Ovis aries: one gene and its partner. The protein of the gene in region 1 interacts with the protein of each later gene in a biochemical or structural test. Links are inferred from orthologs where the notes say so. Each region holds a gene or a part of one and is shown in the gene's direction. Other genes may lie near its edges.

Region 1 (3,500 bases):
GCAGCTAATAAACGTCAGGGCTTGTGTTAGATCCTTGACTTCAAAGTCTGTGGTCTTTCTACTATTAAAAAACACTCAGAGCTTCTCAGCCTGATCTTTTGGGCTGGATAATTATTTGTTGTGGAAGTGTCCTGTGTACTGTAAGGTATTTGCAGTATCCCTGGCATCTACTCTGTACTGGCCAGTAGTGACCCCCGGCGCAAGTTGTAAAAACCAAAGATGTCTCCAGACATGACCAACTGCCCTCAGAGGGCAAAATTGCCCTCCTTTAAGAACCATGGATCTAAGCCATCCTAGGATTTTATCTGAGGTTTATAAATTTCAAATCGCTTCCTTGCTTCACTCTGTCCACCTGCTGTCACTTGCCTCTGTAAATAGAATGCTCACCTACAGAAATTAACACCTTGTTTCTAAAGTGTCATCTGAGGACTAGCAGCAGTGAGAACATTCAAGGCTATACTAGAGATTCAGAATCTTAGGCCACTCCCCACAATCAGTATCTGCATTTTTAACATGATTCCCAGGTGATCCACATACACGTTGTAGTTTAAGAAGCACTCATCTTTCAAATCAGGCCAAAGCCCGCCTGCAAGTGTACAAGGAGGAGGACTGGAAGAAGACACACTCAGATGACCCCTTATAAGCTCTTCGAGAGTGGTTCTCTTCCATTTTCTGCCATAGAGAAGCATATGCCAGTAGGGCATTCCTACTCATCAGCCTCTGAACCAGCCTTGCCCACCCTAGTCTTTCACTGGACCTATAAAAACAGGCAATGTAATGTTTCTTAGTCACTCCCATTCTCCATTCCCAGCCATCTTGCCCTCAGTCCTGACCCCCAGTCTTCCCACTCCTTCATTGAGGACAGCTGCTGCCTGCAGCTACTGTCCATTGCAGAGTCAGCATCACCAGCCCTGACCTCCCATTTCTCTAGTCTCCCGTCCTCAGTAGTCTCAGGGACACCTTCCCACGACTGGCTACAGACACCTGAGCACACGGCAAAATCCACTGGTACTTCTGCCTGGGATGGCACTTTTCCCAGTTCCCCCGTGGCACAGTCCTTCTGCCCATGTCGTCTCCAGGAATCTGTCAGTTTCTTCTGACGTTTCTCTCCATTCCAGGTAGACATCTGATGTCTCTCATCTCTTTCTTCTTAGCATTTCTATATATGCATCTTTCTTTGTAGTATTTCTGAGATCTGCCCCTTCCTTTCCATTTCTACAACCCATCTGGTATTTCTAAAAGTCCAAGGAAGACCACCTTCGTTACAGTCACCTTGAGCTTCACTCATTAAAAAAGGCCAAGTCCCAGGACCTGCCCCAGATCTACTGAATCAGAATCTTTCTGGTGAGACCAAGGAGATGCTCGTTTTTAACAAGCATGCCACTCCAGGAGATTCTTCTGCTTGCTAAGGTTTGAGATTGCCACAGCCTGATCCAGACCCTTATCAACTCATGCAAGGAACAGCCTTCTAACTCCTAACCCCTCCTCCCAGCCTACCACATGTGTACCTAGTAGGAATGGCTTTCTCAAATCTCTGTCATCATCTGTGACTCATTTACTCAAGGACCAAGAGTGGATCCAATTAAGATTCAAATATTTCAGCCTGGCCTACAAAGCCCTTATTAGCTGACCCCAGTTTAACCGACTGTCTTCCTCGGTAACGCTGCAAATGCCACTGGAACCCGGGTGCGCAGAGTTCATACATTGTTTCTGTTTCTCCCACCTTGTGCATATGATTATTTCCACCTAAAATGTGTGCCTTACTCTTCTTCAGAAGTATGACAAAGTAAGGGCCAAGTGTAAATCGAGTGAACATCCCTCCCACTTTTCAAAAGTAAGTCTTAATAAAAATAAATTAATCCTAATGCCCAATGTGGTTAAGAAAAGAAAAGAAAAATAAGTGAAACTTGTTTCTAATGGCCTGACACTTGGATATAGAACCCAAAAGTCACCATCACTTCTTGCTAGAGCTACTTAATTTTGGTAAATGTTAGGAAAACAAAATAGATTTTTAAAATAGGATAACATGGAAGATATTTCAGTTCCACCTTCTAGATTTGTTATTTGAAAGTCTGGTTCTCCAAGCCTAATTTTTTTCTAACCTGGGTCCTCCAGGACACCTGCTCTTCAGGAACACATGGCATCTAGGCATTCTTTGATCCTTCTCAATAATCCGTGCCCACCTTTTTGTTTGTATTTTTGGAGAATTTCCTCCCAAAATGGATACAACCTTTGCTTTTTCTGATTATAAGAAAAGGAGTATGTTTTGAAGTACATATATATGTGAATAGCACTGCAAAAGAACCCAAAAAAGGAGTGCTGAACTCCTTGTATTACAACCAAAACCAAACAAAATGTGCACGTAGTGACATGAGCACTGAAAACACTGCGTGAGTCAGACAGAGCACAGTAGGAGCTCTCGAGTCTTTTCCATAAGACTGTGAGCCTGCAGTTTACAGCCCTAGTTTAGTGGATAGCTGTACCCAACACCGTTCTCCATTCACTCGCCGTTTTCCTAATGCTCCCGGTGCAGGTGCTGAACCTGTTTCTGGCCTTGCTTCTGAGCTCATTCAGTGCTGACAACCTGGCGGCCACAGACGACGATGGAGAAATGAACAACCTGCAAATCTCCGTGATCCGGATCAAGAAGGGCGTGGCGTGGATCAAGCTGAAAGTGCATGCCTTCATGCAGGCCCATTTCAAGCAGCGCGAGGCCGATGAAGTGAAGCCTCTGGACGAGCTGTACGAGAAGAAAGCCAATTGCATCGCCAACCACACCGGCGCCGACATCCACCGGAACGGTGACTTCCAGAAGAACGGCAATGGCACCACCAGTGGCATCGGCAGCAGCGTGGAGAAGTACATCATCGACGAGGACCACATGTCCTTCATCAACAATCCCAACCTGACCGTGCGAGTGCCCATCGCCGTCGGCGAGTCCGACTTTGAGAACCTAAACACAGAGGACGTCAGCAGCGAGTCGGATCCTGAAGGCAGCAAAGATGTAAGGTCCCAGCCGAGAAACCTGTCTTGATCCTATGTAAGAACAAATGATCAGCCTGGGGACTGGTCCAGCCATGGGCCTGGCAGAGAGATTTTGGAATAGCCAACTCTCAACTTTGAACTTTTGGGCTTCCCTGATGGCTCAGACAGTAAAGAATCCGCCTGCAATGCAGGAGAACTGGATTCAATCCCTGGGTCGGGAAGATCCCCTGGAGAAGGGAATGGCCACCCACTCCAGTATTCTGGCCTGGAGAATTCTGTGGACAGAGGAGCCTGGCAGGCTGCAGTCCATGGGGTCGCAAAGAGTTGGACAAGACTGAGGGACTTTCACTTCACTTTCAACTTTGAGAACCAATTCTACCCACCCCCAGATGAGCTAAATTCCTGAGATGTTCCCAGATCTGCCTCTCTTGCTTCTGAGTCATCTGGATCAGAGGCTGGAGGAAACCCTCGGGTTCTTCCCTGCCATCAGTCTGTCTGAGCTGTACCACTGGGAC
Region 2 (4,267 bases), on another chromosome or scaffold:
ATGTTGAGGACATCAGCATTTAACTTTCAAGCTTCTTAACTTAAATAAAATTTGCTGGAATTAAATTCCTCTTCTACCATGTTTAAAAATCAACTGACATTTTCCGAAAGGGTTAAGGATATTGGATACAAATTTGACACCTCAAAATCCTTCTTGCATATTAGAAAACACTAGCATGGAAGGTTGTTTATTATATTTTCATATTTTAGTAATTGAAAAGTAAGTAGTTAAATTTCTTTAAAATCAGTTTCTATCAGTCTCCAACAACATAAATCTACATCTATTTGTTTATAAGATAGCTTGGTATCCCATGCAGAAGAGGTAATAGTTTTAATCTTTTGAAATTAAGACAGAGCTTAATAAGCTGGCATAACTTGAAGTCCTTTGCCTAACAACAGTGAAAGTGGTGAATTTTACTTTTTTGAAAATGCTCAGCACACAAATATGAAATTGTAACATTTATTAATTCTGATTAGGAAGTACACTGGAATTTGTTATATGATTCTTAGTAACAGTTTGTATTATCTTGTATATATTTCCTCAAATGAGATAAAATAAATAAAAAAACACTGCCCTAAATGTTTTCATTTTTCTGGGAAATTAGGAAACTGGGTTACATCTTGAGAAAAGAAAAAAATTTGCCCGTTTTGTTCAGTTAAATGGTGGCGGCAGGTGACAAGTTTGTAGACAAGCGTAGATAACAGAATAAGGATGAATTTAATGTTAGTTCAATTAATGAGTGCAGAAAAAAAGCAATGAATTAGTGTGCGAATCAAGCAGAGTGCTTTCTGTACCAAAAAAAAAAAAAGTATTTGAAGATCATGGGTTGTCTAGAAAAGGCAGAAATATTCCCATTTACATATGACTCTCCTCAACAAAGTATAGCTTGTCACCCTGATCTTAGTGATTGCTCTTTTAACAGGCAGTACCTGCAAGTACATACTTATCATATGCCTAGCTTATATTTTTCCAGCAGCTCTTCAAGTAGGATTCAAGTAAGAACTAAAGGAACTTGAGTTTTCCTTAAGGTTTTAGATGCTTTTCAGGCTGTTTTTGGAAAGTGTTAGGTGCAACTAATGTTGGCCGAGGAGTGGTCCTAAACTGCTGTTTCCGCTTAAACCCCTGCCTCCGGTCCATCCCATGTATTTTTGAAGGTTTGCTAATTATCATCAATTCTCCTTTTCAGAATTCACTTTGAAAGAGAAGTCTGTGTTAGCTGGCTTCGGAGGGCAAGCAGCAAGCCTCATCAGGCCGGGAGAGGAGGGAGGGGGTCGAATGGTGGGTTGGGGCTGAGTGCTGGTGGTGCGGGGCGGGGGATACTTCGAGAGGGGAACCGGCGGGGAGACTGCAGTGATACTGCCCTCCCCGGGCGGGTGCAAGCATCTCACTGGTGACGGGTCTGAAAGCACGTGGCTACGTCATGGAAAGCCAGTCTTTTCAATGCAAACTTCAACTCCTCCTCCCTTTAATGCCTGTAACTCACATCCGAGGCTGGGCGAGGAATCCGGAGGGGAGATTTTCCCCATGCTCACCGTTGTTGGAAACTGGCGGAGCGCGAGCCAGGAGCCAGGGGGTCCGTGGCGCTGTCTATCTACTACGACCAGCCTGCCCAGGCACCTCAATTTGCATCTTTTCTTCGTGGTGATTGAGAACTGCAGGTTCTATCCGATCCCACTGAGCACCGGCGATTGATTATTTAAAAAAAAAAAAAAATCGACACAGAGAAGGGAGGCTGTGTCTTCGGCTGTCAGACTCGGAGGTGGTATCGGGGTGTGTGTGTGCTGGTGGTGGTTTTTTCTTTTCAGTTTCCTTTCCTTTTTCTTTTTTTCTTTTTTCTTTCTTTCTTTCCTTTTTCCTTTTTTTTTTTTTTTTTAAATCTTCTCTCCTAGGGACAACACAATGGCAGTCTTCTCTCAGTGAGACGAATCCTGCTTAGCCTCCTGCAGACTCACTCATCCTCATAGCGATCAAGTAAAAAGGCTATGGTTTTCTCTTCGGGGATCTTTTGTGCATTCCTGTTCTCCTTGATTAACTCTGCTCTCAGTTGGGATTTCTTTGCTTTTTTGTTTGTCTTCACGCTGAAAAAGGATTTTTTGGCCAACCCTTTGGTAATAATCCAGTGGTGATCAAGGGGGATAAAATCGTTCACCCTGGCCGAAAAAAAACAATCACTGAGAAGTCTCAAAGAAATACACCACGTGAGGGGAAAAAACTGGGAGAAGATCCGGAATATCATCGTTTTTCCTATGGTAAAACCGGTGCCCCTCTTCAGGAGAACTGATTTCAAATTATTATTATGCAACCACAAGGATCTCTTCTTTCTCAGGGTGTCTAAGCTGCTGGATTGCTTTTCGCCCAAATCAATGTGGTTTCTTTGGAACATTTTCAGCAAAGGAACGCATATGCTGCAGTGTCTTTGTGGCAAGAGTCTTAAGAAAAACAAGAACCCAACTGGTAAGCAAAACATGCATCATGTTATGTTTTTCCTCCTAATAACCTGTCTGTTGCTCACTGAGCTAGATCTGCAGTTCTGCTATGCAGGAAGGCAGGGGAGACAGCAAAGGACCAGGACAGTATAGTGTATAGAGCTATTGCATGGATAAACAAGGAACAGCTGGATCCGCGTCTCTGAGCCCCCAAACCCGTGTCAGCATCCCTTGGCTGTGACACAATCCATCACTCGGAGGGAGGAGGAAACTTTTTTTTTCTTTTAAATTAATGTATCTGGTTGCCGATGTTTGGTGAAGTATTGAAGGGTTTATAGCTTAAGGTTTGGCCCGAGGCAGCCGAAGCTTCGTTCTTTGCCAGGAAAAAGAAGCCGAGAGCTCCGCCGACTTGTGCTGCAGGCTTCGGGGAGACCTAGCTCGGCTCCGAGAACCTGCTCGAGACTTTCTGATTAGCTTGCACAGTGTCCGCCACCCCATCACCTTTACCAAAGTAGAAGGGGCTCCCCCTCCCGCGCGGCCCCCGCCTCCCGCCCCCGTCTAGCTCGCCGTGCCGGAGTTCTAACTCTTCTCCGGTTTTCTGTCTCCGACACCTCCTGTCACTGGGGACACCTGAGCGGGGCTCCTGTTGGGAGGGAACCCCACACCGAGCCGACGAGCCCGGTCTCTCCCTTTAATAAAGCAGTGTCCTCGCCCCGCATCTGGGTCCCCAGGGTGGGGTGCGCCTGGCTCCGGGTCCCTGCTTCAGCCTCGCGGCGATCGTGCGCCCCCTTTCCAAAATGCTCCAACCGGGACGCTTGCAGTACGTTATATAAGAAATGCAAATGCAGGTGATTCGGGGGAGTCGGGTCCCCGGGGCTCACTTCCCGGGATTTCAGTCTGAGGCGTTTGGGGGCGGCCGCGGAGCTGTGGGCGAGTCGCCCTGGGGAGGCCATGCCGGAGGACTGCGTGGTGGTGGCGGCGGCTCGCGGGCGCGGCGGGTCCGAGAGCGCGAGCGCTGGAGGCGGAGGGGCGGGGGGGGGGGGGAGGTGGTGCGGTGTGCGGTGTCCCCCGGTTCGGCCCAGGCCGGGGAGGGACCCGGGGGCGGGAGGCCGGTGTTTGTGTCTGGGGGCCGTGTTGGGGGACGGGGGCGGGGCCCTGGCCGTCCTGCCGCGGCAGCCCGGGGCGCCCGGGGCTCCTGACGGCGGCACTGCGGTGTAGTAGATCATGGCTTCCCGCGGGCACCCTGACACTGCGAGCTCCGCCGGGGGCGCGCTGGCACCCGGAGCCCCGCCGGCCGGGCGGCAAGTGGCGGCCGCCTCCCTGCCTCCGGGGCTGGCTGATGCAGCGTAGCTGGGCGGCGCGAGAAGAGGGGGAGGGGGAGGGGGAGGGGAGGAGGGAGGGGAGGAGGGGTGGGGAGGTGGGAGGAAGGCTGGGTGGGCGGGGATGGAGGGGTGGATGCGGAGGCTGGGTCCCCCTTGTGGCCCCCTGTGCTGCTGGTCCAGAGGGCAGGTGCTTGGACGCAGGGAGGACGCCTGGCAGCTGCCTTCTGCCGGGACCTTTGGGTGGCAGTTGAGGGAAGCTCTGGGCGGCGGGGTGCTGCAGTGGCCCCCTGCTTCCGACCTGGAGTTCTCAGCTCCGTGCTCGGTTTAGCTTGACCGGCTTTCTCTCCGTCCCCCTCTCCTCTTTGTCCACCACCCGCTCCATGCCCTGTCCTTCCACCCTCGTCTCTCTTAACTCCTCCGTATTTAGCAACTCTGAGATGGTACCACCACCCTGAGCATCACCCAAGGAGAAAGCAGTGTGGTCACCTCCCCAGCCGCATTTCCAATTGGGCGGTGAGC

The links.
Region 2: the proteins of SCN8A (region 1) and FGF14 form a complex in vitro, tested with the Homo sapiens proteins (2 studies listed by BioGRID). The link is inferred for Ovis aries from reciprocal best matches to the Homo sapiens genes SCN8A and FGF14.

What each region holds. Positions count from the first base shown.
Region 1 is NC_056056.1:134,531,534-134,535,033, reverse strand, and holds part of SCN8A (sodium channel protein type 8 subunit alpha), read left to right. Parts: intron 1-2,533; coding exon 2,534-3,004; intron 3,005-3,500. UniProt on the Homo sapiens protein: Pore-forming subunit of a voltage-gated sodium channel complex assuming opened or closed conformations in response to the voltage difference across membranes and through which sodium ions selectively pass along their electrochemical gradient.
Region 2 is NC_056063.1:78,110,703-78,114,969, reverse strand, and holds the start of FGF14 (fibroblast growth factor 14), read left to right. Parts: upstream 1-1,467; 5' UTR 1,468-2,246; coding exon 2,247-2,454; intron 2,455-4,267. UniProt on the Homo sapiens protein: Probably involved in nervous system development and function.